Neurospora crassa OR74A: one gene and its partners. The protein of the gene in region 4 interacts with the protein of the main gene of each other region in a biochemical or structural test. Links are inferred from orthologs where the notes say so. Each region holds a gene or a part of one and is shown on either strand. Other genes may lie near its edges.

The links.
Region 1: the proteins of NCU03947 (region 4) and NCU02978 form a complex in vitro, tested with the Saccharomyces cerevisiae proteins (2 studies listed by BioGRID, with this or other methods). The link is inferred for Neurospora crassa OR74A from reciprocal best matches to the Saccharomyces cerevisiae genes RSP5 and SLA1.
Region 2: of the proteins of NCU03947 (region 4) and NCU11129, one has a biochemical effect on the other in vitro, tested with the Saccharomyces cerevisiae proteins (2 studies listed by BioGRID, with this or other methods). The link is inferred for Neurospora crassa OR74A from reciprocal best matches to the Saccharomyces cerevisiae genes RSP5 and CPS1.
Region 3: of the proteins of NCU03947 (region 4) and NCU05276, one has a biochemical effect on the other in vitro, tested with the Saccharomyces cerevisiae proteins (2 studies listed by BioGRID, with this or other methods). The link is inferred for Neurospora crassa OR74A from reciprocal best matches to the Saccharomyces cerevisiae genes RSP5 and YIP5.
Region 5: the proteins of NCU03947 (region 4) and NCU02771 form a complex in vitro, tested with the Saccharomyces cerevisiae proteins (2 studies listed by BioGRID, with this or other methods). The link is inferred for Neurospora crassa OR74A from reciprocal best matches to the Saccharomyces cerevisiae genes RSP5 and HEM12.
Region 6: the proteins of NCU03947 (region 4) and NCU02955 form a complex in vitro, tested with the Saccharomyces cerevisiae proteins (2 studies listed by BioGRID, with this or other methods). The link is inferred for Neurospora crassa OR74A from reciprocal best matches to the Saccharomyces cerevisiae genes RSP5 and MEF1.
Region 7: the proteins of NCU03947 (region 4) and NCU08295 form a complex in vitro, tested with the Saccharomyces cerevisiae proteins (2 studies listed by BioGRID, with this or other methods). The link is inferred for Neurospora crassa OR74A from reciprocal best matches to the Saccharomyces cerevisiae genes RSP5 and LHP1.

What each region holds. Positions count from the first base shown.
Region 1 is NC_026501.1:8,519,875-8,524,309, forward strand, and holds the start of NCU02978 (cytoskeleton assembly control protein SLA1p), read left to right. Parts: upstream 1-1,506; coding exon 1,507-1,704; intron 1,705-1,845; coding exon 1,846-3,289; intron 3,290-3,351; coding exon 3,352-4,435. UniProt on the Saccharomyces cerevisiae protein: Component of the PAN1 actin cytoskeleton-regulatory complex required for the internalization of endosomes during actin-coupled endocytosis. The complex links the site of endocytosis to the cell membrane-associated actin cytoskeleton.
Region 2 is NC_026504.1:632,455-636,572, reverse strand, and holds NCU11129 (carboxypeptidase s), read right to left. Parts: upstream 2,802-4,118; 5' UTR 2,633-2,801; coding exon 842-2,632; 3' UTR 479-841; downstream 1-478. Other genes in the region: NCU04886 (MFS multidrug transporter), read right to left, coding at 3,988-4,118. UniProt on the Saccharomyces cerevisiae protein: Necessary for use of certain peptides as sole nitrogen source. May also cleave intracellularly generated peptides to recycle amino acids for protein synthesis.
Region 3 is NC_026504.1:5,495,433-5,499,239, forward strand, and holds NCU05276 (Yip1 domain family), read right to left. Parts: upstream 2,313-3,807; 5' UTR 2,049-2,312; coding exon 2,004-2,048; intron 1,907-2,003; coding exon 1,450-1,906; intron 1,354-1,449; coding exon 911-1,353; 3' UTR 681-910; downstream 1-680. Other genes in the region: NCU05277 (hypothetical protein), read left to right, coding at 1-185, 319-426; NCU05275 (ubiquitin-60S ribosomal protein L40 fusion protein), read right to left, coding at 2,752-2,838, 2,905-3,015, 3,188-3,368, 3,460-3,466, 3,536-3,536. UniProt on the Saccharomyces cerevisiae protein: Possible role in vesicle-mediated transport. May be involved in proper membrane localization of Rab GTPases.
Region 4 is NC_026506.1:2,205,781-2,209,973, reverse strand, and holds the start of NCU03947 (ubiquitin ligase), read right to left. Parts: upstream 2,901-4,193; 5' UTR 2,066-2,900; coding exon 2,034-2,065; intron 1,918-2,033; coding exon 1,895-1,917; intron 1,831-1,894; coding exon 1,792-1,830; intron 1,710-1,791; coding exon 1,604-1,709; intron 1,544-1,603; coding exon 1,410-1,543; intron 1,334-1,409; coding exon 1-1,333. UniProt on the Saccharomyces cerevisiae protein: E3 ubiquitin-protein ligase which accepts ubiquitin from an E2 ubiquitin-conjugating enzyme in the form of a thioester and then directly transfers the ubiquitin to targeted substrates.
Region 5 is NC_026501.1:9,249,434-9,253,067, reverse strand, and holds NCU02771 (uroporphyrinogen decarboxylase), read left to right. Parts: upstream 1-1,276; 5' UTR 1,277-1,430; coding exon 1,431-1,572; intron 1,573-1,669; coding exon 1,670-1,711; intron 1,712-1,775; coding exon 1,776-2,311; intron 2,312-2,372; coding exon 2,373-2,849; 3' UTR 2,850-2,955; coding exon of another isoform or gene 2,956-2,995; 3' UTR 2,996-3,061; downstream 3,062-3,634. Other genes in the region: NCU02770 (hypothetical protein), read right to left, coding at 1-536; NCU02772 (hypothetical protein), read right to left, coding at 2,956-2,995, 3,062-3,234, 3,334-3,634.
Region 6 is NC_026501.1:8,595,744-8,599,974, forward strand, and holds the start of NCU02955 (elongation factor G 1), read left to right. Parts: upstream 1-1,268; 5' UTR 1,269-1,595; coding exon 1,596-1,801; intron 1,802-1,907; coding exon 1,908-2,022; intron 2,023-2,111; coding exon 2,112-4,193; 3' UTR 4,194-4,231. Other genes in the region: NCU02956 (aspartic proteinase), read left to right, coding at 1-812. UniProt on the Saccharomyces cerevisiae protein: Mitochondrial GTPase that catalyzes the GTP-dependent ribosomal translocation step during translation elongation.
Region 7 is NC_026504.1:2,503,758-2,507,849, reverse strand, and holds NCU08295 (RNA-binding La domain-containing protein), read right to left. Parts: upstream 2,584-4,092; 5' UTR 2,263-2,583; coding exon 1,999-2,262; intron 1,935-1,998; coding exon 1,168-1,934; intron 1,112-1,167; coding exon 1,012-1,111; 3' UTR 656-1,011; downstream 1-655. Other genes in the region: NCU08296 (mito ribosomal protein S4), read left to right, coding at 3,378-3,422, 3,611-4,090.

The DNA of each region.
Region 1 (4,435 bases), on a different chromosome or scaffold from region 4:
GATTACGTTACCGTACGCGAGGGAGTTACGACGAAACAAATGCAATTCAGGGGGCGTATAAATAACATCGACACCCGCTGAACGGCTCCCATGCCCAGCGGACCCCGACCTGAAATGAACGATCCACCAAGCGCCCAAATGTCAAGAGGGAAAACCCGGGATATGACGCTATCTACACGTGCGGTTACAGTAGATCGCTGATGAATGCCCGGGTTTGCCGGTCGGGACCAGCTGGCTGCTGTTTCTTGATTGATTGATGGGAAAGTTGGGCGTGAAGAAGAGCCCAAGTTGACTGTCACAATTAAGCCACAATTACGGCCAATCAATAGATACTGTGTAACAAAGTGAAAGTTGCGCTTTCGAGGTACTTATTCAGGTGCTATGCCGTACCAGCAGCGCTCGAGATGCGGCTGGGCTGTGCTTGCTCCTGCACGATCTCACTCTTTCGGGTTCAATTTGGACAAGAATCCTTCGTTCCTGCGCCAGTACCTTGCTTCGATGTTGTTGGTCGGTCATTGGGGTTGACCTGAACCCTCGAAATGCGCTGCGGTTATTCCAAATAAAAGCTAGGTACATACACCTCCAGCGCTGGGAGGTTACGTACCTGTTCTTGGGGTTTCAAATTGTAAGGTACGAACAAGGTGTTCATTTGTCCTCGGGTCAATAGTGCACTTCCTACCTACGCTTGATTTGATCTCGAATGGATTTTCCGTGGACATTGCAATTACATAAATATACATTTTGGTGATAGCATCCATGAAGATCGCGGTGTCTTCGCGACCGCTTCGTTGCATCGTCTAAATTCCCCCAAATTCAGCGAACCCCCCCACCCCCCCGAACACACACCCCCCGGACCGGCTCCTTTAAACGAGCACTTGGGTCCACGACTTGGACATAGAGTAATTTCCAACGTCTCCCTTGGCTCGACCATTTCGACCGCAACTCCAGACTCTTGATCACGATAAAGGTCAAATTCCTCGCAGGGTCACCGCAGCCGCGCGTGCTCGCTGTCGTCGACATCTTCCCGACGTTCCCTCGCTCGAAATTACAGGCTACCTATCCGTAGGTACCATACAGGAGGGCCTTGGCCGGCCGCAATCCTACGCGCAAGCGGGCATACCTACAGTGCTTGCTTCAGCGGCTACCCCTTGCTTCAGGAGCACCCGTACACTCTAGAAGAGCTTCCATCCTCGTTCACCTTCTGCCCGGCAGCCGCAGCGCCGCACCCCCGTCACCCGTCACCAACCCAGCGTCACCCGCTCTCACACGCTGCTGCCGCCGCCGCCGCCGCCGCTCGCTCCTTGATTCCATTTCCTACCGGACACACACACACCCCCCCTTCCCCGGCAGAACCAAGACTTGTGATACCACACCACCAGCCACCATTCGCACCACGGCGCCTTTCGTTTTCCCCAATTCCTTTCTTCGCAACAGCAACTCCCTTGCGTCGGTTCATGTCGGCTGCCATCCAAAGGGCATCATACGAGCAGATTTCCCGCAGCAGCCATGGGCTTCCTCGGCGTCTATAGGGCCATTTACGATTACACGCCCCAGGGCGAGGGCGAGTTGACAATCTCCGAGGGCGACATTCTCTATGTGTTGGAAAAGAGTCAGGAGGACGATTGGTGGAAGGCGAAGAAGAAGGCCAATGCTGCCGACGATGACGAGCCCGTCGGCTTGATCCCCAACAACTACATTGAGGAGGTATGTAATGTGGTCCGAGGTCTAGATCTGGATTGCGTGCAGTGTCATCTGGGCACTTGTACCTGCTTGGAGGATAGCAAGCTGGCTGGCCTTGGCATTCAGATGGATCACTTGAACTGACCGCGCACACCATGACGCCAGGCGAAACCCGTATCATACGCTCGCGCGCTCTACGAGTACACGCGTCAGACCGACGAAGAGCTCTCCTTCCCCGAGGATGCGCAGCTCTCAGTCTTCGACACTTCCGACCCCGATTGGATCCTTGTTGGCCACGATGGCGACTACGGCTTCGCGCCCGCCAACTACATCGAGTTGGGCGATGGCCAGGCTGGCCAGGTCGAGGAGGAGGAAGAAGCGACTGCCCCCCCTCCTCCTCTTCCGCAGAGGACACCCAGCGTCAGCGTCGATGTAGCCAGCCCGCCCCTGCCCGCCAGGAGTGTGCCCTCCGAGCCAAGCACCCCTGTCGCCGCTTCCAACCCTGCTGCCGCCGCCATCGCCGGAGTTATGGCCAACCGCTCTTCTTTCCAACCTCCAGCGCCTATCAGTGTTCCCCAGCCCCAGCGACAGTCATACGCTTCGGAAGATTACGAAAATGAGGTAAGGTCCCCGCCGCTTCCGAGCCGCCCGCGGGGCGATTCGCAAATTGCTCCGGAGCAAAAATCCTACAGACCGGTGCCGCCGCCCGCTCAGTCAGCAGCCCACGACACCGACGACTATGGCATTAGCCCGCGAACCTCCCAGGCTCCTCCTCCTCAGACCGCCGCGCTTACCCCTGGCGGTTTCCACATGTACAACATCAACGAGATGACGTCGGTGATGGGCAAGAAGAAGAAGATGCCTACCACGCTGGGCATCAACCTGAGGACGGGAATGATTCTCATAGCGCCGGAACATTCCCACGACGGTCCATCGCAGGAATGGCGGGCCGATTGCATGACACACTACTCTCGGGAGGGCAAGCACGTGTTTATGGAGCTCGTACGACCAAGCAAGAGCGTTGACTTTCATGCGGGCGCCAAGGACACCGCTGAAGAGATCGTCGCGATGCTGGGCGACATGGCCGGAACTGTGCGCCTCGAGGGACTCAAGGAGATCATTGCCGCGGGAGCCGGAGGCAAGAAGAAGAAGGGTGCTGTGCTGTATGATTTTATGGCTCAGGGTGAGGACGAGGTTACTGTCGGCGTTGGTGATGAGGTAGTTATTCTCGACGATACCAAGAGTGACGAGTGGTGGATGGTGCGTCGCGTCAAGAACGGCAAGGAGGGTGTGGTTCCCAGCAGCTACATTGAGATCAACGGCGTGTGGGAAGAGCCGGAGACGGCCGTTACCGGTATTGCCGTGGGCATGTCGGAAGTCGAGAAGAACCGCCTGGAAGAGGCGCGCTTAACCAAGGAGGCTATCAAGGCTGCCCAGCGCGAGGAAGAGAAGGAGAAGCAGAAGAGGAACTCTGAGGTAGGCCCAGGATTGCAATTGCAAGAACGAAATAGTAGTTTGCCGGCCACAGATGATAACAGGAGAGGAAAACAGCGAAGCAGTAGGCGCGAACCCGGTCAGAACAGCAGCTCCAAGTCGTCAAGCAAGTCGAGTAAGTACACCCATGTCCAGATTTTCTTTCAGAGTATGCAGAATACTGACAGTTTGTCGCAGAGCCCGATCCTTCCAAAGTGCGAACATGGACCGATCGATCCAAGTCCTTCAGCGTTGAGGCCCAGTTCCTCGGTGTCAAGGATGGCAAGATCAGGCTCCACAAGATGAACGGTGTGCAGATCGCCGTGCCCGTCTCGAAGATGTCAGTTGAGGATCTCGAGTACGTGGAGCGCGTAACTGGCGAATCTCTCGACGAAGACAAGCCCCTATCCGATCTTAGGAACAAGCGATCCGCCGGTGAGTCTTCGAGGTCTAGTCGATCGACGCGCGACAGGGAAAGAGACCGTGGTTCCAGCTCCCGGGTTGGCGCCACCATCGATTCCTCGAAGAAGCCCGACTACGACTGGTTTAACTTCTTCCTTGGTTGTGACATACAGGTTGGTTTGTGCGAACGGTATTCTCAAGCTTTCCTGCGGGAGGCTATCGACGAAAGTGTCTTGCCAGATGTTGATGCTACTGTGCTGAGGAACTTGGGCTTGCGTGAAGGTGATATTATCAAGGTCATGCGGTACCTGGACAACAAGTACATGCGGAACAAGAAAGGCGAAGAGGGCGAGGGAGGACTCTTCTCTGGGCCAGGAGGTGCGCTCCGCAACAACACGAAGAAGGGCAGGCCGGCGCCCCCCGTCGAGGTCAGCAACACCGTTGATCCCAACGCTTTCTCTAAGGACTCGGGTGCTGGTAGTGGCAAGTCATCATCTCCTACGGCTGCGGCTACGCCAACACCGTCTGCCTCGAAGCCTTCCAGTGGCTTTGATGATGATGCTTGGGATGTCAAGCCTACCAAGACGAAAACCCCTGAGCCGGCTGCGCAAGCCGTTGCTCCCGCTCCTGCGGCGGCACCCGCTGCCGCTCCAGCCCCTGCTGCGCCAGCTCTGGTTGACGCGCCGGCCCCCCCTCCGCCGGCGGCTCTTACCAAGTCGATGCAGGAGTTGTCGTTGCTTACCCAGCCTTTGGAACCCGAGAAGGTCGCTCCTCCGCCAGTTGTGCAACCGGCCATCACGTTGCCTCCGCCCTCCGCGGCTCCAGCTCCGGCTGCTGCTGCTCCTGCACAGGTCCCTCAGCTTACCGGCGCCACTCCCGG
Region 2 (4,118 bases), on a different chromosome or scaffold from region 4:
CGCATTGTGCATGGCTAGGTGGACGAGTACACATGTGTTCCCTTTGCTGTTTTCACGGAGTTCGGCGTAGCGGGCAACCCATACTTTGGTCAATATTGAGATCCAATGGAATTCACAGGTAGATTCTCTAGAAACGAAAGATGAGAATGATAATGTGTACAAATATGCCATGGGGTGTGGAGACAGTCATCACACAAGGGAGTTGGGAATTCAGTACATGACCCAAAACTCGAAGTGGTGTATCAATCCAACAAGAAGTCAACACCTCCTGCATCTTGCATGCGTTCGTTGTCGAGGGAACACGCACATGATGCAGCACAATCGTAGGCCAGACAATGCAGCAAATGTCAGGAGCATGCATCTACGGAAAATTCATCAGAATGACATTGGGAGGTCGCAAGTGTCTGATCGGATCACCGGTCCTCCTCCAAGGATCAAGGATGGAGGTGTTGCTGGAGATTTCACTGTTACAAAACCAGTTCATTTGATATTTCTTTTCCTAGAGGAATAAACTGCAGGTACCTCTACTCATCATTCATCAATTCATCATCAATTCATGTACGGCATCATCAACACGTGCATCCTCCATTCCACCACCATCGTTCAAACAACGGTCCCTTCCTCCCCCTCTCTTCCACTTCCTCTCGTTTTCATTTCTCCCATACCCATCGCCCTCTTCACGTTGTGTTTTCTTTTCCCATCTTTATAAGGTACATCCTATTCCTTCGAGTCCCACTCAACCTCCACCAGACCCCATCCATCTTTCCACCCCATCCATTCGACCCACCGCTCCACCCCCCCCCCCCCCCATCTTCTACCCATCAACATCCACCCATCCACCTCACTCAACCTCAACCTCATCCATATTCCTCAAAAACATCCAAAACCACTTCACGCCATTCACATGCGCCCTCACACTCACCCGCTCATTTACCGTGTGAATGTTTCCAAACCCAGCATCGTCATCGGCGGGGTCATACCCCGGTCCCCACCGGAATATATGTCTCGTCACGTCCCAGTAATATCGTGTGTCTGTATTGCCCGTCATGATCCCAGGGGTGACAATCACCTCTTCACCGTAGAGGGCGCGGGTGGTTCCTGCTAACACCGCGAAGGGTCCTCTACTGGAGGGGAAGGAGGGGGTGATGGGTGCGACGAGGAGTTCGTGGGAGGATTTGGTGAGGATCAGGGAGTTGGGTGGCTCGGGCTGCTCGTCTTCATCATCATTAGAATCAAAAGCGTGGAGGGCAAGGCCGTGGCGCTTGGCGACGTGCGCGGCGAGCTTGGTAAGACGGTCGTAAACGACCTGGGGGGTTTCGCCTATGTTGATCCGGTGGTTGATGGTGGCGCGGACACGTTCGGGAAGAGCGTTGGTTTTGATGCCGCCCGAAATGACGTCGACTGCTTGAGAGGTTTGCATTAGGTATTTGATGGCTGGGCCGCCTTCGCGCGCGGCTTCGAGGGCTAGATAGTCTTTTGTTTTGCAGGTTTCAACAGCAGAAGAAGAGGAAAAAGAGGAGGAGTGGCGCTTCCGGTGGGCAAGCAGTTTCTTGAGTTTGTGTGAGAAGTGAGGCGAATGCGCTGCGCCGCATTGTAATTGGGTGAAGTACGGGTTTTCCTCTTCTAAATGGGTGCGGTACTGCTCTGCTTCGATGCGCGTGATGAGCTCGCTCAAAACACCAATGCTGGTGTGGTCCGAGGGGATAGACGAGTGGCCGCCCGGCATGCGCACCGTGATGTAAACGTCCGTGTATCCCTTTTCGGCCGTTCCCGGTTTGGCAAACAGTGTTCCCCACGTCTTTTCGAAGCCGGCGCCTTCGTCGACAATCACAGCCAGCGAATCCTTCCCGTACCGCTCTTCGATGAACTTGGAGAGATGAGCAGCGCCCTGTCGACCGGAGCATTCCTCGTCGAAACCGAAAGACAGCAAAATGGTGCGTTTGGGCTCCCACCCGGCTTCCAGCAGGAGCTCAACCGTCTCCATGATGGCGATCAACTGGTTCTTGCAATCCCCGGCGCCGCGACCCCAGATGTACTTGCCGTCGTACTCGCCGGACCAAGGCGGGTAGGTCCAGGCGGGGATCGTCTCGGGCGGGACGGGGACGGTGTCCTGGTGGGCCATGAGCAAGGTCGGCTTGAGGTCCTTGTTGGACCCTTCCCAGGTGTAGAGCAGGCCGTGGGTGTTGACCTTGTCGACTTGCAGCTTGGAGTGGATCAAGGGAAAGGTCTTTTTGAGGTACGAGGCAAAGTCGTAGAAGACGTCCCAGCGGGGGTCCTCGCCGACGGCGCCGAGGTCGTCGAAGGACTCGGATTTGACGCGCACGGCGCCCGACAGGCGGGCCACCGAGGCGTTGAGGAATGTCTCGGTGGAGAGAAAGTCGTAGGCCTCGTCGAGCTTCTCATCTTGGCTGGGCTTGAGCGGAGGAGGTTGCTCGCATTGGGAGGCAAAGTTGACATTTGCGCGGGAGAGAGATGGAATGATTGCTTGGTTGGTGTGCCAGGCGTAGAGGGCGTAGAGCGGAAGACCGAGGGCGAGGGCTTTGGCGACGGTCTTGAGGGACTTGCATCGGGTGGTGGATGCCTGGGCCGGCGGGGGCGTGTAGGCCACCGGGAGAGAGATTCCCTTCTCCATATTCAAGGTTGATGATGATGATGTTGCCTTTCGTGTTCGAAAGACGGTTGAAACTGGAGGTGGTCAAACAGACATCAGCGTTGTTGGGGATGACTGGGCAGCTTATAAACAGCGATTATTAGGTAATGGTGGGTGGCTGTTGATTGTCAGCGGCCCGGAGTCAGACCGGAATTGCCGAGACGTACGACAATTGACACCTCCTAGATTGGGCATGGCGCGGGCTGTGTTTATCTGTCGTCAAAAGCGGGCACGCCATCCCCACTGGTTCCCAGGAACCGGAGCCGAGAAGTGGTGGGCCGTTCTTGGGCAAGGATCGTCTTCCCGGCCGTGTGGGGTTGGGGCAGTCGTCATCTGGACGGATGATGGTGGTAGGGACACTCGGCTTCGAGATGGCTGATCTTTTTTGACCCGTTAGCAACTATACGGACGGCGATGATGATGTAAAAGAAAGGCCGTGAGGTGAGGGAGACATTTCCTTTCAATTCACTCGGGCAACCGGTTTTTTTTTTCTTTTTTTTTTTTTTTTTTTTTTTTTCCTCAACATTCGGACGAACCTACATGTGTACCCTTCAACCGGGGAACACATGTACGCTCGTCCTACCTGCCCAAGCGTCGGAGCACCAAATTAGCTGGTACCATAATGTATTCTCCATCCAACGAGTATACGCATGTTAAGTTCGTTTGTTACACCACAGTATCTAATTACCGTTTCCTTTTGATCTGCGTTCAATTCTTTGGCCCCAACAATGCCTTCAACTCCAAGTCCGGTTGGCGTTTTGAGGTGACCGCTGATGCTCATAGTTGCAAGTTTCAAATACAGGTGATATCAATAAGCGCCAGTGGTTTAGTGGTAAAATCCATCGTTGCCATCGATGGGCCCCGCGTTCGATTCGCGGCTGGCGCAATTGAACTTTTCTTTTTTGCGACTTTTGCCCAATGAATCTGGGATCAGGGACGTCTCATGACTCGGCTTTTTGTTTTGGGTCCACTCCCTCTCCTTTTTATTCATATTAAGTTTGGTCTTGTCCCTTTTGAATCAAGAACAAAGTTCTTCTTGTCTGTCATGAATGTCTGTCTATTTTGCGGTACTACATACCAAGTGTCCGAAAGTGAAATGCTACCATGGAACGTTGAATCTAACCCGAAAAGTCGCACATGACGTTCCACACATTGAGCTTGGAGATTATATCCCGTCTATCCCTCGAACCACAAACCCGACGCCGGAAATGCAACGCTGAAAAGCAATTGGATGAAAGCAATGGGTATCACAACACCTTCTCCTTCCCCGACTCCTCTTCAAAATCAAGCCGAACGACCTTAGTTATGCTTGGGCTTCCGTTTCTCTCATCACACACTCACGCTTTCTGTTCTTGCTTTCTCTTCTCCTCCTTGGCCTCCTCCTTCCACTTCTCCTCCGCCCTCCACCTCATTCCCCTGCTCATAAGCACCAGCAACAACGGCGCAAAGAACACATACAATCCTCCAA
Region 3 (3,807 bases), on a different chromosome or scaffold from region 4:
CTTCCTCAAAGTCCTCACCCAAGAAGAAGAACCACCACTACGCCGAATCCACCACCTCAACATCCAGTTTCTCCAGCCGAACCAGTCTCCTCAAGGACAAATTCCACTCCACTTTTGGATCTTCTTCTTCTTCGTCACCGTCTTCGTCTTCAGACAGCAGCAAGAGCAAGAGCAACAGCAAGTCCGTGAGTAGTAGTCCCATGAACAGCACCAGACAACAAGGGCTGTTCCTACTTGGTTCATCAATAAGGATGGGGCACTGATTCTTTTTTTCAATGTGGGGGGTTGTTGTGGGTGGTAGTATTAGGAAGACTTGAGATGATTTCGAGACGAGCAGCGGCATGGGGAAGTGGCAAGCGGTTTGGCTTGATTACCCTATGGGCAGGTCAGATCGTTCAAAGTATCGATAGCGAGTATGGACAATGAAAGGGGTCCCTCCCTCCCCGGCACGAGGGGTGGTGGGGCGGCACGAGGGATGGGATAAAAAAGGATGATGGGTACGCATAAGGGCATGGTCAGGAAAACGGAAAAAAGAAGGGGAGTAGTTAAGAGGAGGCGTTTCTTATGTCTACCTCTACCACCTGGGAACTGGATGGATGGAACGTATTGTAGTGTACCTGTTATACCCGGGATAGAAAGAGGAGGACAGCGTACCAAAGAAAGGGCAGCAAATGGGTGAAATAAACTGCCAGCGCAATTCAATTCAGCAGAAGTCATAGGTTGAATTGAAAATCCGATTGAACTTGAACTTATCAATCCCAGAAACCAATCGCGGCAAACGCCTCCCCCATAACCTTTTGTTGACGGATGAAGATAGTAAAACATCAAATATCAGATACAAGGCCACACAGCTCCAAACGTACCTCTCTTCCTATTAAGCCTATCTCCTTCATATCCTAACCTCCTGCCCCTAGAACATCATCATCATCGTAGCCGGATCAGCAGGCTTCGCATCCCCACCACCCGGGGCAGCTCCCTTCGGACCATCCTTCAACGCCGGGCTTCCATGCGCAAAGAAGAGCACCTTGATGGCCAGGGCCAAACCAAAGTGCAGCGCCACCACGACAAACAGCAGCACCTTGCTCGTCTGGCGATCCGTCGCGCTGAGCACCGGATACAGGTTCCTGAGCAAAAAGGCCACCGACACGCCGAACCCCACGCCCACAAACACCCAGTTGAGGATGGTAATCGGCGACCAGCTGATCAGCGCCACAGGGATCCAGATGAGGTTGGAGTAACCGTACAAAGCCCAGCACTCGAGCAGGTTGGCGGATTCCGAACCAAAGTATCGCAGGGCAAGGTACAAAGCGACCGGCAGGACAAAGGTGTAGCCGTAGATGAGACCAGCGGCGCCTGTTGTTGTTTTTTTTGATCACATATCAGCCCCCAATTTTACTAAAATCAATCACCCATTCACCCAAAGGGAAAAAGAAAAAACAAAAAACTTACCGCTCAACAACCGAAAATCATACGCAAACGCCTCCTTCCCCGTCTGCGCCAAATAATCACTAATCGTCCCGCCCAAGAACAAAATCAGCACCACCGTCGTCGCGATCCAAAACGGCCCGTACAGGTCCGGATTTCCCTCCAACACATCCAAAAAGTTGGCTCGCGGGTACAGGGCCGCCCAACACCGCTGCAGCACGCTGGACGTGTCCACGTCAAAGAACTGCGCGTAAAAGGAGAGCGTCCAGAGGAAGCGCTTGCTGCTTCCTCCTCCCGAGTTGGAGGAGGTGCGGGCGGCGGTTACGGGAGCGGGAAGTAACCCGCCGCCGAGGGAGGAAGTGGAAGTGGTGTTGGTGTGTTGGGTGGATTTGGTGCCGTTGCGCCCGAGGGGGGAGGATTCGGAAAAGTTGGATTGGTGGAATTCGAGATCTTCTTGGAGGTCGGTGTGGCCTAGGTCGCCCTGGAGAGAGAAGGAGAAAAAAGGGTGGTTAGTTGGGTATGTAAAGATCAATGACTACCATGGGAGCGGATGGGAGGGGAGGAGAGGGCGAACTAACCTCGTCGTCGACGTCTACGACTGCATCGTAGCCTGATCTGGACATGGTGGCGGTTGTTTGCTGTCTGTTGGTCGGATGTGAGCTGTGATGACAAGTCTTTCGATGGTGATTTGGTTGGAGCTTGGGAACACGCCGATAGCTGTGAATCGCCTTGGAGTCAAATGGTATGATTAGTTTATGCTTAGTGTAAGTCGGTCTCTCGATAGGTAAGCTCCTCCAAAGCTACTTAGGTGGTCTGGTCCCTCCGGAAGCTGGTGGTGGACAGCTGTTTCAACGTGAGCCGCGTACACCAAAGGGTAGAGGTAGGTAGGTAGAGGTACGTACCGCTGTACACTTGCGTGCACGCCCCCTGTTGGGGTCCTGAAACCGCAGCAGTGCACCCCCCCTTAACGGATTCCCGGTCCCTGCAGTAACTCCCCGCAATATGTCACGTGGGTCCAAAGTGGCCATCAAGGTAGTTGAGCTGTTTCGAGCGACATTCATAATCAAGCTCAAATTATTCTACAAGATCACTGCTTTTGGTAGGAGAGCTTCAATGCCCTTTTGTGTATCCCCACGGGCAATGTCCGAGTTTATTCATGAGCTACGTAGAAGTCCTCGACTTGACGTTTTCAGCCGTAGCCATCCATTCCCAGGTCCCGTGTTTCCCTGTCCTGTTGTCCTTATGCCGTTGCCATAACCATACCCGTTTGCCCCCAAAAAGCCCAAATGCGCCAAACCCTGATGCTGGTACGTAACACTGAGCTGTCTATTTGAGCTTCTTCTTGGGGCGGAGCTGGTTGGTGTGTCCGCACTTGCGCTTACGGCAGTTGGTGGCACGGGGAGGCAGACGAGCCTAGAAACAAGTTAGACCTTGGTTCAACATTTGAGAAGGCGAAAAGATGATATAGAGTATACGTACGTAGCACTTGCGGCAAATCATCTTGTCGCAGTTGAACTTGGAGGCAAGCGCCTTGAGCGAGGGCTCGATGATACCACCGCGCAGACGGAGGACCAAGTGGAGGGTTGACTCCTATAGCAGAAATCCATGTTAGCAAGTCGACCATGACACCAATCAATTGAATCCCATTTCTGTTCCCATGGCCATCGCAAAAATGGAAGTTGACCACAGCAGTTGTCCTCCCATTCCCAACCCCTATAACATCTACGTCATAAGCGCGCTGTGGGGCCACCAGTCCACTGACCTTCTGGATGTTGTAGTCGGAGAGGGTGCGGCCATCCTCGAGCTGCTTGCCAGCAAAAATCAGGCGCTGCTGGTCGGGCGGGATACCCTCCTTGTCCTGAATCTTCTGCTTGACATTGTCAATCGTGTCGGAGGACTCAACCTCGAGCGTGATGGTCTTGCCCGTGAGGGTCTTGACGAAGCTATACACCAGGGGTACAACGTCCCGTTTGTTAGTGACCTGACTCAACTCCGCTTGATTGCTTCGTGCTGCGGAACGTCGTGAAAACTCACATTTGCACTGCGGTTCAGGTCAGATTAGCATCTCGACGAATTGAGGATTTGGTCTAAAGCAGTGTAATTAACTTACTCTTGACCGGTTATTCCTAGGTGTGGTCAGTTGGAGGTGCAGTGGTGAAGGAGGGAGTGATGTGATGATGTCGGGGAACAGCAACAGGACGAAGCTATGATGGTGGGGTTATGGGAACGGCCGCTCTGGGCAAAGTGGTGCGTGCACATGTCACAGTGTTCATCAGCTTCATATCTGCACTGTACCTCCATCTTCAACACCAGAAGGTCGCCTCCACCAACGATTGCTAAGTAGTTTCCTCAACCGCACCCGATTTGTGCTCTTCTTCTAAT
Region 4 (4,193 bases):
ATGAACTTGAAATAGTTGAGATGCTCAGGGTTGATACCCGAGTGGGGGTTGATCTGGAGGGTGTAGTTATCGTGGGCCGAATACTCGAACAAGCAGTAGAATGGATTGAACATTTCGTGAGAAAGGAGGAAGAAGAACTCGCGCGACAGACCGCCGTAATCGAGGCCGTCCTCGCCGTCGAACTTGATCATCAATCGTTTCTTCAGGTCCGTCGCCGATTGCCTCGAAATCTCCGCAAACGAATCCTCGAAAATGTGCGATCTCCTGACCTTGATGTGACACTGTCCGGACATGATCCGCATAGCAGGCTGCGAACGGAAATAGATGAGCTTCCTCCTGAAGTCTCTCTTGTACTGCGGTACGTTCTGGTCGAGCGACGAAGGCAGACGAGGATCATCCCAGGTCGTTGTCTTGGTATTGTGATCCACGAAGTAGACGCGAGCCGTGTTGGTGAGCCGCATCTCCCAACCACTAGGCAGGGGACCGAGCTGGGACACCGGCTGTTGTTGAATGGTCCCGTTCGTGTTGTTCTGGCCACCGTACATGCGAATGTACTGCTGGCGTCGAGGGTCGACCCAGGTAGTAGTGCGCGTGTTGTGGTCGACAAAGTACGGCCTTCCTTCTGGGGTAAACCTCTGCTCCCAACCAGCAGGTAATTCACCGGTTCCGGGGGTTGTCGCCCCGGTATGCATCATAGTGGCAGCATTGGCGGTGGCGGCAGCTTGCTGCTGCTGTAGGGTGGGGGAATTGGCGCCAGTGCGGTCCTCGGGAAGTGTTCTGTTCTGATGCCGTTGACGCTCGACTTGAGTATTGGCTTCGGCGGTACGGTTTTCGGCCGCCCCTGTGCCAGTTGGCCGATTCCAGCTCGTGGTCCGTGAATTATGATCAACATAATATGTCCTCCCCAAATGATCCTCGCGACGTTCCCAGCCAGCTGGCAATCTTCCCATTGAATCTTCGAAGGGGCTAAGCGTGCTATGGTGCCTGGCTTGCGCCGGAACGAGGGTCGACGGGTTCGTTGGGGCTGTTCCATTTGTCCCGGGGGTCGGGGCTGTCGACGACGACGAAACAGCCAGGCTGGCGGGTCGGCTTGCCAAAGTCATGTTATTGGCGGTTCCATTAGGTCCGGACATGGCTGATGAAGGACGTTCGTTCGCTCTGTCGTTAGAAATAACCGAACTTTGAGGGGTGAGTAGTGATGGTCTGCTCGAAGATGGAGGGGGACCGAGGCGACTCATAGTTGCTGTGAGGTTAGTAGATAGGTTTATGATCAGTTTGCCGTGCACCACAAGGTTGTCGGTCGATTTCTTAAGGTCCCGCGTGAGCATCTGATCTGTGGGTGTGGTGCATGTCAGTCCCAAATCGCGCTGTCAACCTGCAAACACATGTGAATTGCAGTGAAACCTTACCTTCCGCATCGGGAGCCAATTCTATTACGTCCCCTATCCGGACATTGATGACACCGAGGAAACCTTGGTCCTTCTTTTTGAACTTCTTTTGGTCGAACACCTGGACAGCCAGAATGCTGTCCTCATTCACTTTGCTACGTTGTATTAGCCAGCTGGCCCTTGGGCTGTCAAATCTGAGTTAAGGTCGAACCTACAAATCAAAGTGTTCGTTCCAGTATGGGTTTAGGGTACGCTTGGAGACCTGGGTGGTCTTTGTCTGCTCACCGTTAATGGTAGCGACGGCGAACGGGTCGGGAAACCCTATGATGATGATGCGGTTAGCATATGCCACCTGGAAGTGGCTTAGAAGATGCATGACACCTGGCCACGGGGAGAAACATACTGAAGACATCTCGCTTGTATAGACCATCGGCGGCGATGACTAGAGGGGCATGTTAGTACACCGGTTGGTCATCGGACACATTCGTCGCAAAGGGGCTGAGTACTTGTTACGCGGAGATTGGGCTGGCTTTAATCGTGGTGGTTGTTAGCTGGCTGTTCTCTCGCTTATAATCCGCGGTCCCTGAGGGCGACGCAAAGCAGACAAGATGGGTAGATGGAGAGTCCAGTCGTGGGAGAACTTACGCCGGCAGCCCCGAGTCCCGGCTGCTGGTCATTGTTGCAGATGGAGCGCGTCAACAAACTCGCACGCGGGGCTTTAAGTTTTCGTCTCGTTTCTTGGACCAAGCAGAGGCTGGTCGCAATCGGGTCGGGTAGTCGGTCGCTCTCGCTCGTTTGGGATCGAGGACTCGCGGCTGAATGCAGGCGGGGCGGGGATGAAAGGAGGACAAGTCGACGATGGTACAAGCAGGCTGAATGATTGTTACAAAAGGGCCAACTCTCCTTGCGATGGACACTGACGTTGACGAGAACGCGCAGTCACTGGCAACGGAATGGATGCGGCAGGGTGGATGAAATTCTGTAGGTGGCAGTAGGTGGTAGATGGAAGCTAGAGGGACTCTTGAGCGCCCGTAGGTGGTGAGGCTGTGCTGCTCTTGGTAACTCGTGCGTGTGTGGCCAGCCGGCCCCCCCGCTTTGGGTATCTTACGCTGTCAGGTAGTCACGGCGGCGGAAGGCGAACTGCAAGGAAAGGCCAAGCAATCCAAGAGGCCAAGGTTGGACGGCTGTGGCTTGGTAATACTAAGTAATCTCTGTACTAGCAAGGTCGGCAAGGCAGGTCTGATACTTAGGAAACCACTTCTGTGGATCAACCAGCAGGTAGTGTAAACTCGCTCGGATGTCTAGGTTCGTCTGGTAAGGGTACCTTTAGTTAGTAGTGTCGAGGTTGAATGCTGTCGTTGTTTTGTCGCGGTGAAGCTGCTGGAAGTGGCGGGTGGGTGAGCTTGGGTTCGACGGACCAACCCCAAGAAGGTCCAGGTGAAGAGCTCAATGACCTTCACTAAGTTGCAACCGACGGATGAGCCAAAGGATGGGAGGGAAAACGACCGAGAAACCTGGACGTCTTGCGATGTTGCAAAGGTGCAATGGTGCAACGACCCAAGCCAAGAAATTGACAGTCCAAGTTGGATCTAGCATTGGTGAAGAGACAGGGGGAGGTGACAAGACATAATGGTTCAACAGCATTAACGGGAAAGTATGGCTGGCCTAGCATGCTCTGTGCGAGAAGCTTAACTTTTCAGTTAGTAGCTCAGGTATCGCATTAACGAGTGACTACTTTTAGGCCAGGAACTAGTTAGCAGAAGCCTGCAAAGAGCGAGAACTGAAGCGGAAGGTGCGCACAGTGCGGTACTTGACTTCTTCTCTTAAGCAGTTGGTCGGGTCATTCGAGTCCCAGACTCCCAGGGGGCCACATTCACTCCATGCTTGGCACGGCATCCAGATCTCGAGATCAACATCAACAACATCATTGGCACACAAAGAGCAACCTTGGTGTACATGGATCACATAGTCCCGTGTCTTTTCTTAGGAGTTGATGCCCTGTCAGGAAAATATCCCATGGATCACGGCTCAGTCATCGACACAGAGAATTAGAATAGGTAGCTATGCTGGCCTGAATGCCTTTCCATGACTAGGGGTAGGAAAGCACCTCCACCGACCGCCCCAAGCTCCGAGGTCTCTCCAGGAAACGCCAAGATTGTAGTAGAAGCTGTCTGTTCCAAAAACTCTACACAAGAGGTAGCCCAACGATCGGGGATGATGATGATCTTGCGCAGATCTACCAGATATCAAGCCACTACCGAACTTTGAAGAAACCTCCAGAGGCAGTCAATTAGGAAAGTGAACACTTCAAACCTCAACCTTGACAATTCAACGCACAGCACCTCTACATCCCATAACGACGATACACCGCACGGGGTGCAAAAAGGCGTTAGGTCGCTACTTAGCGTATCCCAGTACATGTAGTGTACCCCCGTTGCCGCCGACCGAGACGCTGCTGTTCCAACAATAGCGCATCACCGACATAAACGCCCGTCATTTCCATTTTGATACCCCTCGCGTGCGACGGAACTGCGGGGCGTTACTGCATCTCTGGATTTTCAATTGAGGTTTCTTTTTTTGTTGAGGTGCTTTTGACGATGGGGAGTTCATGGAAGCATAGAGGTACCCATCATATGTACACTAGGTTTGTACACTACACTAGTGGCTGTCATCATTGAACGAAGCGAGACAGCAAATGTGGAGCGCCCTTTGTTCGACACTTCTAAAAAGTGGTAGAGGTAATGCGCAATCCGCGTATAGCTCTTCTACCTAGGTAAGTACTCACTCTACTATACCTCAAAAACC
Region 5 (3,634 bases), on a different chromosome or scaffold from region 4:
GTCGAGTGCTGTGTATCCTCGAAGCTGTGTATTCCCTCCTCTATCGCGCACTGTTCCAGAAACTGTGGTGTTATCGGTTCATTTCTCGACTGTCGCAAGTCTTGATGCGCCGTCCAACCGCTTACAAAGAAGTCGGCATTATCGAGCAAATCGGTTGGCGCAGAATTATCGAACCCAATTGCCGTACGATCAAAGGCAACATGTTGCGCCGAAGCTGAAGATGGCGGCTCCCAATTCCACTGACTCAGGTCGACTGGGTAAGGGAAGGCCCATGGTGGTGGAGTGGGCGGACATTGTAAGGCGTTGAGATCTCCGAGGTTCCGTTTCCCCAAGCGGCGGCGGGCCTCGAGCGGACCGGGCACGCTCCCCACCGTCCTCCGTGTGGACTGGACAAAGCTGGCGAGATGGGGGAAGTCGGCGGCGGAGGCGACCCAACACGGAGGGCCGGTCGGGAGTGGGCTTCGGGGAATGGAGGGGATTCGCGGCGTTCGACTCAGCTGGAGCAAGCGGTAGCAGTGGGAGGTTTGTGGAGTCATGGGGAGTGGACTCGGAGCGGAGGAGAAGGAGGAGACCTCGACGTGGGAGCTTGACTCGCGTTCACGGGCGGCGGAGGGGTGGGTGGTCGGGGGATCCCAGCCTAGTGAGATCCATCGGAGGGGGGGGATATGTGCTTGTTGATTGAGGTGTCGAGATGATGTAGTGTATGATAGCAATTAAAAAGGTATATCATGACAGACAGAGAGAGTGAATTGGTGTTGAGAAGAACATGGCGAGACCAGCAACGTACGACGGGACACAACGAAGAGAACAGCTTAGGTGGCTTGGTAGCTCGAGACTGGTGAGAGTTCCGTCCCGGTCGTGAGGGGGAATTGTGGATATCAACTTTTTAGTCTGATGGACAATCGATTGCGGGCAGGCGGCCCAGGCAACGGCGTGGCACAGCTGAGCATCTCCAACCTAACTGAAGTAAGGAACTGAAGTAAGGAAGCAAGCTGTAGCGGGAGCTGTGCTGTGTCCCTAGGTAGGTAGGTTCCACTTGTGGCTGATGGTACCTGCATTCGTCTGAACTTCCATTTCCTTGAGGGCAGTTGTGGCTTTGAGGTTGTACTTATCACCATACCTACCTAACCTAACCTACTGCCCCTGTTTGTCCTAAAGTCGTAGGCCACACCAATTGTCCGAGAAACCTACCTCTACCTAGGAAGGTACTCTAGGTAAGCGGGGGATTGACAGACTTCCAGGGACAAGAGGGGTAAATTTAGTGGAAGCCCGATCGTACCAGGGGTGCAATTGGCAGCAGATCGACCCCGCAAACCGCCAAAGGGACCCCACTGAAATTCAGGCCGAGCTTCAACTGGACGACGCTGTGGGTGCGGTGATCCTCTACCACCTCAGTTCGGCTGTTTTGGATATCACAAGTCCTTGGAAACATGGCGGCGGCTTCTCTCTGTCTCTTGTCCTTGTCCACTGCCTTGGTTGCCTGGTATCTTCACAATAAGTCAACAAACAGACACAAGATGGCTTCCCAATTTCCTCCTCTCAAGAATGACTTGTTGCTCAGGGCCGCCCGTGGTAAGTCTGGGGAAAATTTCAGACAGAAAAAAAAAAGAGTCATCTCATCTTGCACATGCAATCTCATTCACTAACACACCCATTTTCTCACACACAGGCGAGACCGTTGAGCGTCCCCCTATCTGGGTGATGCGCCAGGGTGAGATGTCCTCACTTACACATTTTTACTCTCACATCTAACGCAGCACCTCTCATCCTCACAGCCGGCCGCTACCTCCCCGAGTACCATGAAGCCAAAGGCGGGCGTGACTTCTTTGAAGTCTGCCGCAACCCCGAGATCGCCTCGACCCTGACCCTCCAGCCCATTGAGCGCTACGCCGGCCTGATCGACGCCGCCATCATCTTCTCCGACATCCTCGTCATCCCCCAGGCCATGGGCATGACGGTCGAGATGGTCGACAAGAAGGGCCCCCACTTCCCCAACCCTCTGCGCTCGCCCAGCGACGGCCAGTACGCCGAGCTCATGAAGCGCGACGTCGACGTAGCCAAGGAGCTGGACTATGTCTACAAGGCCATCACCCTCACCCGCAAGAAGCTCGACGGCCGTGTCCCCCTGTTCGGATTCACCGGTGCCCCGTGGACGCTGCTGTGCTACATGGTTGAGGGCGGCGGTACCAAGCTGTTCAAGGAGGTCAAGACGTGGATTTACAAGTATCCCGAAGAGACCAAGGCCTTGTTGCAGAAGATCTCGGAGTTGTGCGTGGAGTATTTGGCTCTGCAGGTCAAGGCTGGCGCTCAGGTAATGACCCTCCTCTTATCTGGGTATATCACTTTGGCCATTCAGTACTAACGACATCCAGATCGTCCAAGTCTTTGACTCCTGGGCCGGCGAGCTCTCCCCCTCCTCCTTCAAGACCTTCTCCCAGCCCTACCTGACCTACATCGCCAAGCACCTGCCGCTCCGCCTCAAGGAGATGGGTCTCGAGCCCGTCCCCATGGTTGTCTTCCCCAAGGGCGCGTGGTATGCCCTCGACGCCGCCTGCGACATGGGCTACAACGTCGTCGGCCTGGACTGGCTGCACGACCCCGCCGAGGCCGTCAAGGTTGTTGGCGACAGGCCCATGGTCCTCCAGGGTAACGCTGACCCTGGTGTCCTTTACGGATCCCATGAGGCCATCACCAAGGTCGTCGAGGAGATGGTGCAGGGCTTTGATTGGCATGGCAGACACAAGGGCTGGATTGTCAACTTGGGCCATGGCATTACGCCGTTTGTCAACCCGGATGACCTCAAGTTCTTCTTTGAGGAGATTCACCGGTTGACTAAGACCAAGGCTTAGTTAGGTGCCTGGTTGTATGTACGAATAAAATCGGTGATGATGATGTATGAAATTTAGACAGACATATATCCCCTCAGTCAAATCTTCAAAGTAACCTGCTCAACGCCTACAAGGCATCGCCAACTGTAGCCAGGTCCACCACGGCCCTATTTTCATGTCAGCAGCAACTCTCATAACATCAAATTCCAAAGGGAAGAAACGGGAATACTCACCAAGACAACAACCACCCAACCCGCCCTCCAATACTCTTACAAACCCCCTGACTCCTATAATTCTCCAGAAAAACATCCGCAGCTCCCCACCCATCATCGCCATAATCCTTGACATGATCCCTCATGACTTTACAAGCCACCGCCTTTGCCAGTCCCTTTCCGCGGTATTGCTCCTGTTTTGTTCTTGTCAGCTTTCTCTCTCTTTCACCTCCCTCTCCCGTTCTACAGTGACAATACAAGGGAAAAAGGGAAAAGGAAAAGAAAAGACAAACCTCAACATGCAACGTCATCAACGTCCCATCAAACGCCATGAACCCCCACGCCACCATCCTCCCCCCTTCTCCATCCCGTACCGCCACACTAGGAAGTCCCAAAAGCGTATCCTCCTGCCTTTTGATACTCGTCCGGCTCTGCACCAACCTTACATCCTCCTTTGTCCTCACCCGATCCCACACCAGCCCCTTTTCTTTTTCCAGCGTCGTTCCCAACTGCCCCTCCTCCTCCTTCTCCGACGACGACGACGACGACGACGACACCAACGCTTCCGTCCGAAACAACCACTTCTGACACACC
Region 6 (4,231 bases), on a different chromosome or scaffold from region 4:
AAGGCGACCTGACGCGAATCCGAATCTACCCTAGTAGTAACGGCTACTACTTCTCCTTCATCGTCGCCTTGACATCGTTACAAGCAATTAGTCCTAGCGGTAACGACACGCTTACCTCTCAGGAGTTCCCCATTCCGGTAGTGCTCGACTCGGGTACGACCCTGTCTTATCTGCCGCAAGACATCGTGGATCAGATCTGGCAGGAAGTCGGTGCAGAATACTCTGATAGGCTTGAGTTGGCTGTCATTCCCTGCTCGAAGAAGTCTAGTAACGGCTACTTTTCCTTTGGGTTTGCCGGCCCTGACGGCCCTCGCATCACTGTGCGGATGGACGAGCTGGTCCTCGATCTCACTAGTGGAGACCCTCCGAAGTACACGAGCGGACCAAACAAAGGCCAGGATGTATGCGAGTTTGGCATTCAGAATTCTACCTCTGCGCCATACCTCCTTGGCGACACCTTCCTGCGGTCGGCATATGTGGTCTACGATCTGGTCAACAATGAAATCGGCTTGGCGGAGACGGACTTCAACTCGACCGAAAGCAACATTGTGGCGTTTGCCAGCATGAGCGCGACGATCCCGTCAGCAACACAGGCGCCAAATCAAGCGGCGGTCACCAATAGACCCGTTGCAACTATGCCATCATTTGCGGCGAGTTCAGGATTCTCGGATACTGGTGGCTCGGGCAACGATGGTAAGGACGAGAATGCATCGGCAGGCATGCCAAGTGCATTTGGTGTCGCTCAGATGTCTGTGATGGGTATTGCGATGGTGTTTGCCATGGTTGGTTCTGGCGTATTCGTCTTGCTATAGGCTCTGCCATTGCATTCGGTTGGATTTGGATATGGCATTCCTTTTTTTTTCTTTGTTTTGGGAGTAGAAACGCACAGAACAGGATGATGACGATACCCCGAGGGGCGTAGCGTTAGTTGAAAAGAGTATTCGGTTTTGTTTTTGGATGGATCCTAACAATACTCATTTATTACCTAGGACTTGGGTAGTTTGTTTATCCTATGGTCGGTACCTACTTTACGTGGACTAGGCATCATGGGTTGAAACAGTGAGGGATGGCAATTGGGTATGGTATTGAGTTACTGTTCTGTTTGGAGTGGTTTGTTTATAGTGCTAGTAATGTATGATCAGTGTTCAACCTTCAACGAGTCTCGGATACTAACTGTCCAAAGAAGATCAAGGTAGTGAGGTTGTCGATGTGGGTTCGTCGTGGCACGCTTCAGTTGATGATAAGTGTATGGACCTTGATGGTTCTTGGGGAGCTGTGTGTGGATGGAGTACCCAGCAGTCGATGGACGCACGCCCCCGATATTTAGCGCCATGGTACCCGCGCGATGGCCCCAGCAAAGATAAAAGTACCCACTTAAAAATTTCGTGGGCAATGCCCGGGCTTTGGTAGAGTTCGTCCCGACTCCCCCCGCCGTCAGTTGCTGCCGCATCCGCATCCGCATCCCGCATCCCGCATCCTGCCCCGTGCTTCTCCTTTGGAAACTTTAGGTAGTTTTCCAAATCCACGGCACCACTCCTTCCTCCCCACCAGTCACTCCTTTCTCTTTCCTCCCCCTTCGCTGCGTGTGAGCGAAGATGAGGGTGATTCGGGCTGTTGCTACTCTCCACGCCGGCCGCGCTGCCGCCGTGCGCCAGGGTGTTCGCTCCGTCAGTCTTGGAGCATGCCGCGCCGCCGTCGAGACGCCGTCCCTCCGGTCGGCCGGCTCCCAGTTTGAGAGCCGCCGTCTGTTCAGCAGGTCCTCCTACCTGAGGAATGCTAACATGACTGCGGCCGAGATTGCGTAAGATATCTCCCGTGAAACGAAGGCTGTCATGGCTGGCGTCATAGCACCGGGCAGCATGCCACAGCAGCAGACCCGGCTGACAATACGCGCTGTATTTCTCTAGTCTCAAGCAGGCCAAGGAACTCGCCGCTTCCAACATGACCCCCGAGGCTGCTGCCGCCCGTATGACCCCCGAGGAGGCCAAGAGACTGGCCCGTGTCCGTAACATTGGTATCGCCGTATGTGAACCCCAAACGCGCCCGAGATGAAAGATAAGAGACCGAGGACAGAGGACGGGGATAGAAGCTAAACAGCTAGCTATATACAGGCCCACATTGACTCCGGCAAGACCACCGTGACCGAGCGCATCCTTTTCTACACTGGCAGAGTCAAGGCCATCCACGAGGTTCGTGGTCGCGATGGTGTCGGCGCCAAGATGGACTCCATGGAACTCGAAAGAGAGAGAGGTATCACCATCCAGTCTGCCGCCACTTTCGCCGACTGGAAGAAGAAGGAGAAGGGCGTGGAGGAGACCTACCACATCAACTTGATCGATACCCCCGGCCATATCGACTTCACCATCGAGGTCGAGCGTGCCATGAGAGTCCTTGACGGAGCTGTCATGGTTCTCTGCGCTGTCTCTGGTGTCCAGTCCCAGACCATCACCGTCGACAGACAGATGAAGCGCTACAACGTCCCCCGTATCTCTTTCGTCAACAAGATGGATCGTATGGGTGCCAACCCCTGGAAGGCCGTCGAGCAGATCAACACCAAGCTCAAGATTCCCGCCGCTGCTATCCAGGTCCCTATTGGCTCTGAGAAGGAGCTCGAGGGTGTTGTCGACTTGATCGACATGAAGTGTATCCGTAACGACGGTCAGCGTGGTGTCAACCTCAAGATCTCCAAGGAGATTCCTGCCGAAATCAAGGAGCTTTGCGAGCAGAAGAGACAGGAACTTATCGAGAAGCTCGCCGATGTCGATGATGAGATTGCCGAGATGTTCCTTGAGGAGCAGACCCCTACCCCCGAGCAGATCAAGGCCGCCATTCGCCGCGCTACCATCGCCTGCAAGTTCACCCCCGTCCTCATGGGTTCCGCCATTGCCGACAAGGGTGTCCAGCCCATGCTTGACGCCGTTTGCGACTACCTCCCCAACCCCAACGATACCGACAACACTGCCCTCGACCGCTCCAAGGGCGAGCAGCCGGTCAAGCTCGTCCCTTACAACTCCCTTCCCTTCGTCGGTCTTGCCTTCAAGCTCGAAGAGAACCCTTACGGCCAGCTCACCTACATGCGTGTCTACCAGGGCTCCCTCAAGAAGGGCGCCTACCTCTACAACTCCCGTGGCAACAAGAAGGTCCGTATCCCCCGTATCGTTCGTATGCACTCCAATGAGATGGAGGACGTCAACGAGATCGGTGCCGGTGAAATTTGCGCCGTCTTCGGTGTCGACTGCGCCTCTGGCGATACCTTCACCGACGGTGGTCTCCCTTACTCCCTAAGCTCCATGTACGTCCCCGACGCCGTCATGTCGCTCAGCATCAAGCCCAAGCGCTCCAGCGACGCCGACGCCTTCTCCAAGGCCATGAACCGCTTCATGCGTGAGGATCCCACTTTCCGTCTCCATGTCGACGAGGAGTCGGAGGAGACCATCATCAGCGGCATGGGTGAGTTGCATCTCGAGATTTACGTTGAGCGTCTCCGCCGTGAGTACAAGGTCGAGTGCGAAACTGGCCAGCCCCGCGTCTCTTACCGTGAGACCATCACCCAGAAGGCCGAGTTCGACTACCTTCTCAAGCGCCAGTCCGGTGGCCCCGGTGATTACGCCCGCGTCGTCGGCTGGATCGAGCCCAACCCCAACGGCGGTGAGGACAACCACTTCGAGTCGCGCGTCGTCGGCGGCACCATTCCCGACAAGTACATCTCTGCCTGTCAAAAGGGTTTTCAGGAGGCCTGCATCAAGGGCCCCCTGCTCGGCCACAAGGTCATCGGCTCCTCCATGGTCATCACCGACGGTGCCACCCACGTTACGGATTCGTCCGATTACGCCTTCAACCTCGCCGCCCAGATGGCCTTCGGCAAGGCCTTCACCGCCGCCGGCGGCCAGGTGCTCGAGCCTCTGATGAAGACCACCATCTCGGCCCCCGCCGAGTTCCAGGGTAACATTCTCATGCTGATGAACAAGCGCGGCACCATTGTCGATACCGAGGTCGGCGCCGACGAGTTCACCATGGTCGCTGACTGCTCCCTGAACGCCATGTTCGGCTTCTCCACCCACTTGCGCGCTGCCACCCAGGGCAAGGGCGAGTTCTCCATGGAGTTCAGCCATTACGCTCCTGCGCCGCCCCACCTCCAGAAGGAGTTGGTGCAAAAGTACCAGAAGGAGCTCGAGGCCAAGCGCACAAAGTAAGCTGGCTGTTGAAGAACTGCAAAACTTTGAATTTGCTT
Region 7 (4,092 bases), on a different chromosome or scaffold from region 4:
AGCAGTACACGAAATAAGGAGACAAGGCTGCTGGGACTCTGTGAAACTGACCGTTTCCGGTCTGAGGGCCAAAATGACTTGGACCCCTATCGTGTCGAGTGACGATAATTGTCGATTCGTAGGTAGTGCGTGTGCAGCTTTGAACCTCGACCTAGTTGCAAGTTGTAAAGGCTCTGAATTGTTTCTACACACGCTATAATAGTGTTAGTAATCATGATCATTGCCCATGGCGAGGTTTTCTCGGCAATATCATTGGTCGAACGGAGGTTCCTTAAAGCATCAGAAGAGGATCTCGAGCACTGTGTCTGTTTCGTAGATACTGCATCGCATCTCATTCGTTGCGTCCAGCCCCCAAACTGCACTAGGTATACTAGAACTCCATCTTACACTACATCGTGTGCTCATCCCGTACTTGCAGCCAACACAACGCCCAGACATCGATACATAGTACCCTAAGACCCAAGTTGGTAAATGGCGACTTGCGGTCTGGAACGATATCATAGGCGTGCTCAGCGTGGAAGGCCCAGCATGAAAGAAAATGACTGTTCAGTAAACGAATGGCTGTTTCCCCAAAGCGCCTGAGACGGTCTCCTTGTCTACCCAAAGCATTGACTATGGCCGCGTCACCTTGGTATCTACACATAATCCAGTCGGCGTTTTTTTAGCTATCAGAGACCACAACTTCCAATCTTTGAGGGAACAACAGCATGAAGGTCTGACATGATAAAACATCTAGTAGTCCATTCACTCAACTTGTCTAGCAAAAGTGATACAATGCTTACTTCTAGAACCATCGCCTTTATACTGCGTATATATTCGCATGCAATAACCACAGCACGCTATCAAGGTCAATATCGGATGTTGTAGTACGAAATCCCTGCCCTTTTAAGTTTAAAACAAACACCACCCATATAACGCCGTCCGAATGTTTTACAGCCTCGAGAATTATTCATCAGGAACAAGTCATCAGTCCGTCCGGCCCAGAACTTGGAGCATACCAATGCCGGCCTTCTATTGCTGCTCGACAGCCTCAGCCTTAGTGTCGACCTTCTTCGCCGCTGGCTCAGCACTCTTGTCTCCGTCATCTTCACGGGCACGCTTGTTGTTGTTACTATACCACACGTTAGTAAATGTTCGAAACCCAGTTGTCGGATGGCTGTAACTTACTCGTTGTTGCGGTCACGGTTGTCGCGACCACCACGGCCGCCACGGCCACCGCGGCCACCCCTTCCACGACCACGGCCACCCTTGAAGCCGTTTCTCTGGTCGTTATCACGACGCGACTTCCAGTCACCCTTGTCACCACCGCTGCGGCCGCCACGTCCGCGGCCACGTTCGGCACCCTTGATGCTGCCCTCGAAGAAGATCTTTTTCTTGCTGGTGCCGGGCTCCATCTTGCCCTCCTTAATGAGCTGGGTCTTCTCGTCCAGGTAATCCTTCTTCTTCTTGATGACGAGCTCTTGATCCTGCCACTTGGGGGCGGGGTTCAGGGCAACAAAGGCGTTGGCTTCGTCTTCCGTCTTAAACTCAACGAAGACCGAGCCCTTGAATTTGTTCTCCTCGTTACGCCTCAGCTTGACCAGGTTGACCTGACCAAACTTGGTGAAGAAAGCCTCGATGTCGAACTGAGTGGATCCGGTCTCTTCGCCGAAACCCTTGACGTAAACGCTGGCAGCCAGACGGGCCTTTTGCGCATCAGAGGACGAAGTGTAGGCCTTCTTGCGCTTGACCGTCTCCTGGCCCTCCTCGCCAGACACATCCAAGAAGGCGCTCTCCTTCAACGCGGCGACGACGGCCGAGTAGGGCTGGAACATCTGCATGCGCTTGAAGCTGCAGATGGTCTTGAGCGAAACGGGCTTGTTCTCCACGCCTCCGGTCGTCTCCCACATGAACTTATCGGTAGGGAGGTTGCTGTCGCTGAAGTAGAACTCGACCTAAGACTATTTGTTAGACACGGGGACACGCAGCATGCCAACTGTTTTTGTAGTCTGATCGTACCTGGTTGCGGATCTTGACGGGATCGTCAGTGACGGGCTGGGTCGAAGGATCGTATTTCCTGTTGTTCTTGTAGTCGGCGCGGTCGATAGACTTGGTAGCCTCAGGCTTCTTCTCCTCCTCCTTGCTGGCATCCTCAGTCTTGGGAGCCTCCTCGGCGGCGGGGGCAGCCTCCGCGACGGGGGCCTCTACAGTCTCGGTTTGGACCTCGGTCTGAACATTCTCGACGGCAGGCGCAGCCTCAGTGTTGGCGGTGGTATCGCTCATGATGAAGGTCGGAGTGGCCTGTAGGTATTTGAAAGGGTAAAGTACAAGCGGCTGTAAAGGCAATTGACCGTCTAACGTGACGCGCGTGCACGGAAGAGAAGAATGGATGTAGATGGCCGGGAGAGAGATAATGGTGAACGGATGATGAAAATGCAGAAAGTGCACTGGAGACCGGGGACCAAGCAGGCAAAACGACGAAATTATTTAGTGGGTCCTTCAGGTGCACTCCAGTTTTGGGGCGGTAGGCGCAAAATGTTATTGCAGGGTGCAGTGGGGGAATGGTGTTGGGTTGGTGCAGGGTTGATTGTTGATCGACGCGACAGGAAAGTCGGCCATTCACCAGCAAATCCCAGGACGTGTGTGAAGTGTAGAGGTAGTCACGTAGTGTAAGTCAGGTAGGACCTCGATAATTCTGAACTGTAACACACACTTCAATTCCCTTGTCAAAGATCGAGAGTTTGATTCAGTCTTGTCCATCCATTACTGAGCTCCCTCCCTCCATCATCATACAGCAGCGTAACCCATCTGCCCTGACTTTTTCCAGGGTCTGTCGGCATTGGAGTCATATCGAGGACTGCACTTGTCAAAACCTCCCCCTCAGCGCAAAAAAATGGAAGCGGCGAAACCAAGCAAGCAACCAAATCAGCCCCACCCAGGTCCAAGGGAACCGCCTTTGGGTTTAGACTTTTTGTGCCGATTTCTACCGCCTGGCTCTGCTTCTAGCCCCACTCCACTTGCACCCGCAATCCGCCAAGAGGTTGCGGAGCTATACCGCATGCGCTCTAGCTCCCGCATCCTGTGCCTGCCAGTTCTCCACCATCCGGCCTGGAGTTGACGCGCACAGTGGCCCGAGCTTCTCACGTGAATGCGACCAATGGGCGAGCGCGTGCTCCAATTCGGGTCTGAAATAATTTTCGGAGGACGGCGCCCGATAAGAGGTGGAAGGGCCCCGGGAAGCTCCCCTCGTTGGCAGTGCTGCTAGGTGCCCCGGACCGCTCCGGACTCGACAATCTCCAAACAACCTGCGCCGAACCGGTCCGTCCACTTCGCCAAAAGCACGGGGCCTACAGTCCGATCCGATCCCCCGAAGCTCCTCCAAACACACCACACCCAACATGAAGATCCGGAGGTTGTTCAAGTACCACAGTTTGAAGAAAAAGGTATGTGCTATTCGGTGTTTTATGCCGCCGTCGCCGGGTTTGCCGTTGGTCATCGTCGCCGCCGCCGCATCATCACCCCATTCGCCCCATTACCTACTACCTGCCAGTCCCATTGCCACGACACTCAACACCCACCACACGCGATCATGCTGACGTATTTTGTGTGCGCTTCTTCTTCTTCCGAATAGCCCATCAGGCCGACATGGAACAAATATAACCTGTACAACCTGGCTACGGCCGGGAGAGAACCCAGAATCAGCGGCAAGACATTCTTCCAGCAGAAATGGCTCGCCAAGTCCTTGACACGAGCATACCACGGCGAGCACATCAAGGAACGCAAATGGGCGCGCATGTTTAGCCGTCGCCTACCGGCCGTCGTCAACATGGACCCGGCATACATGGCCAAATATAACGGCAGCGAACAAGCCGCCGGCCGCGGTTCCGGCCTCTCAGAGCCCCCAGCCTACGAGAAGACCGCCGACGAGAAACCTGCCAAGCAAGTCATCGCCAACCCGGGCAGGAAGGTTCCCACGCCGTACGAGCAAATGACCTTTGCGCCTCTCGAGAGACGCCTCGATATCGCCATATTCAGAGCCCTCTTTGCCAGCAGTGCGAGACAGGCCCGCCAGATGGTTGTGCACGGTGCCGTCACCGTCAACGGCAAGAAGGC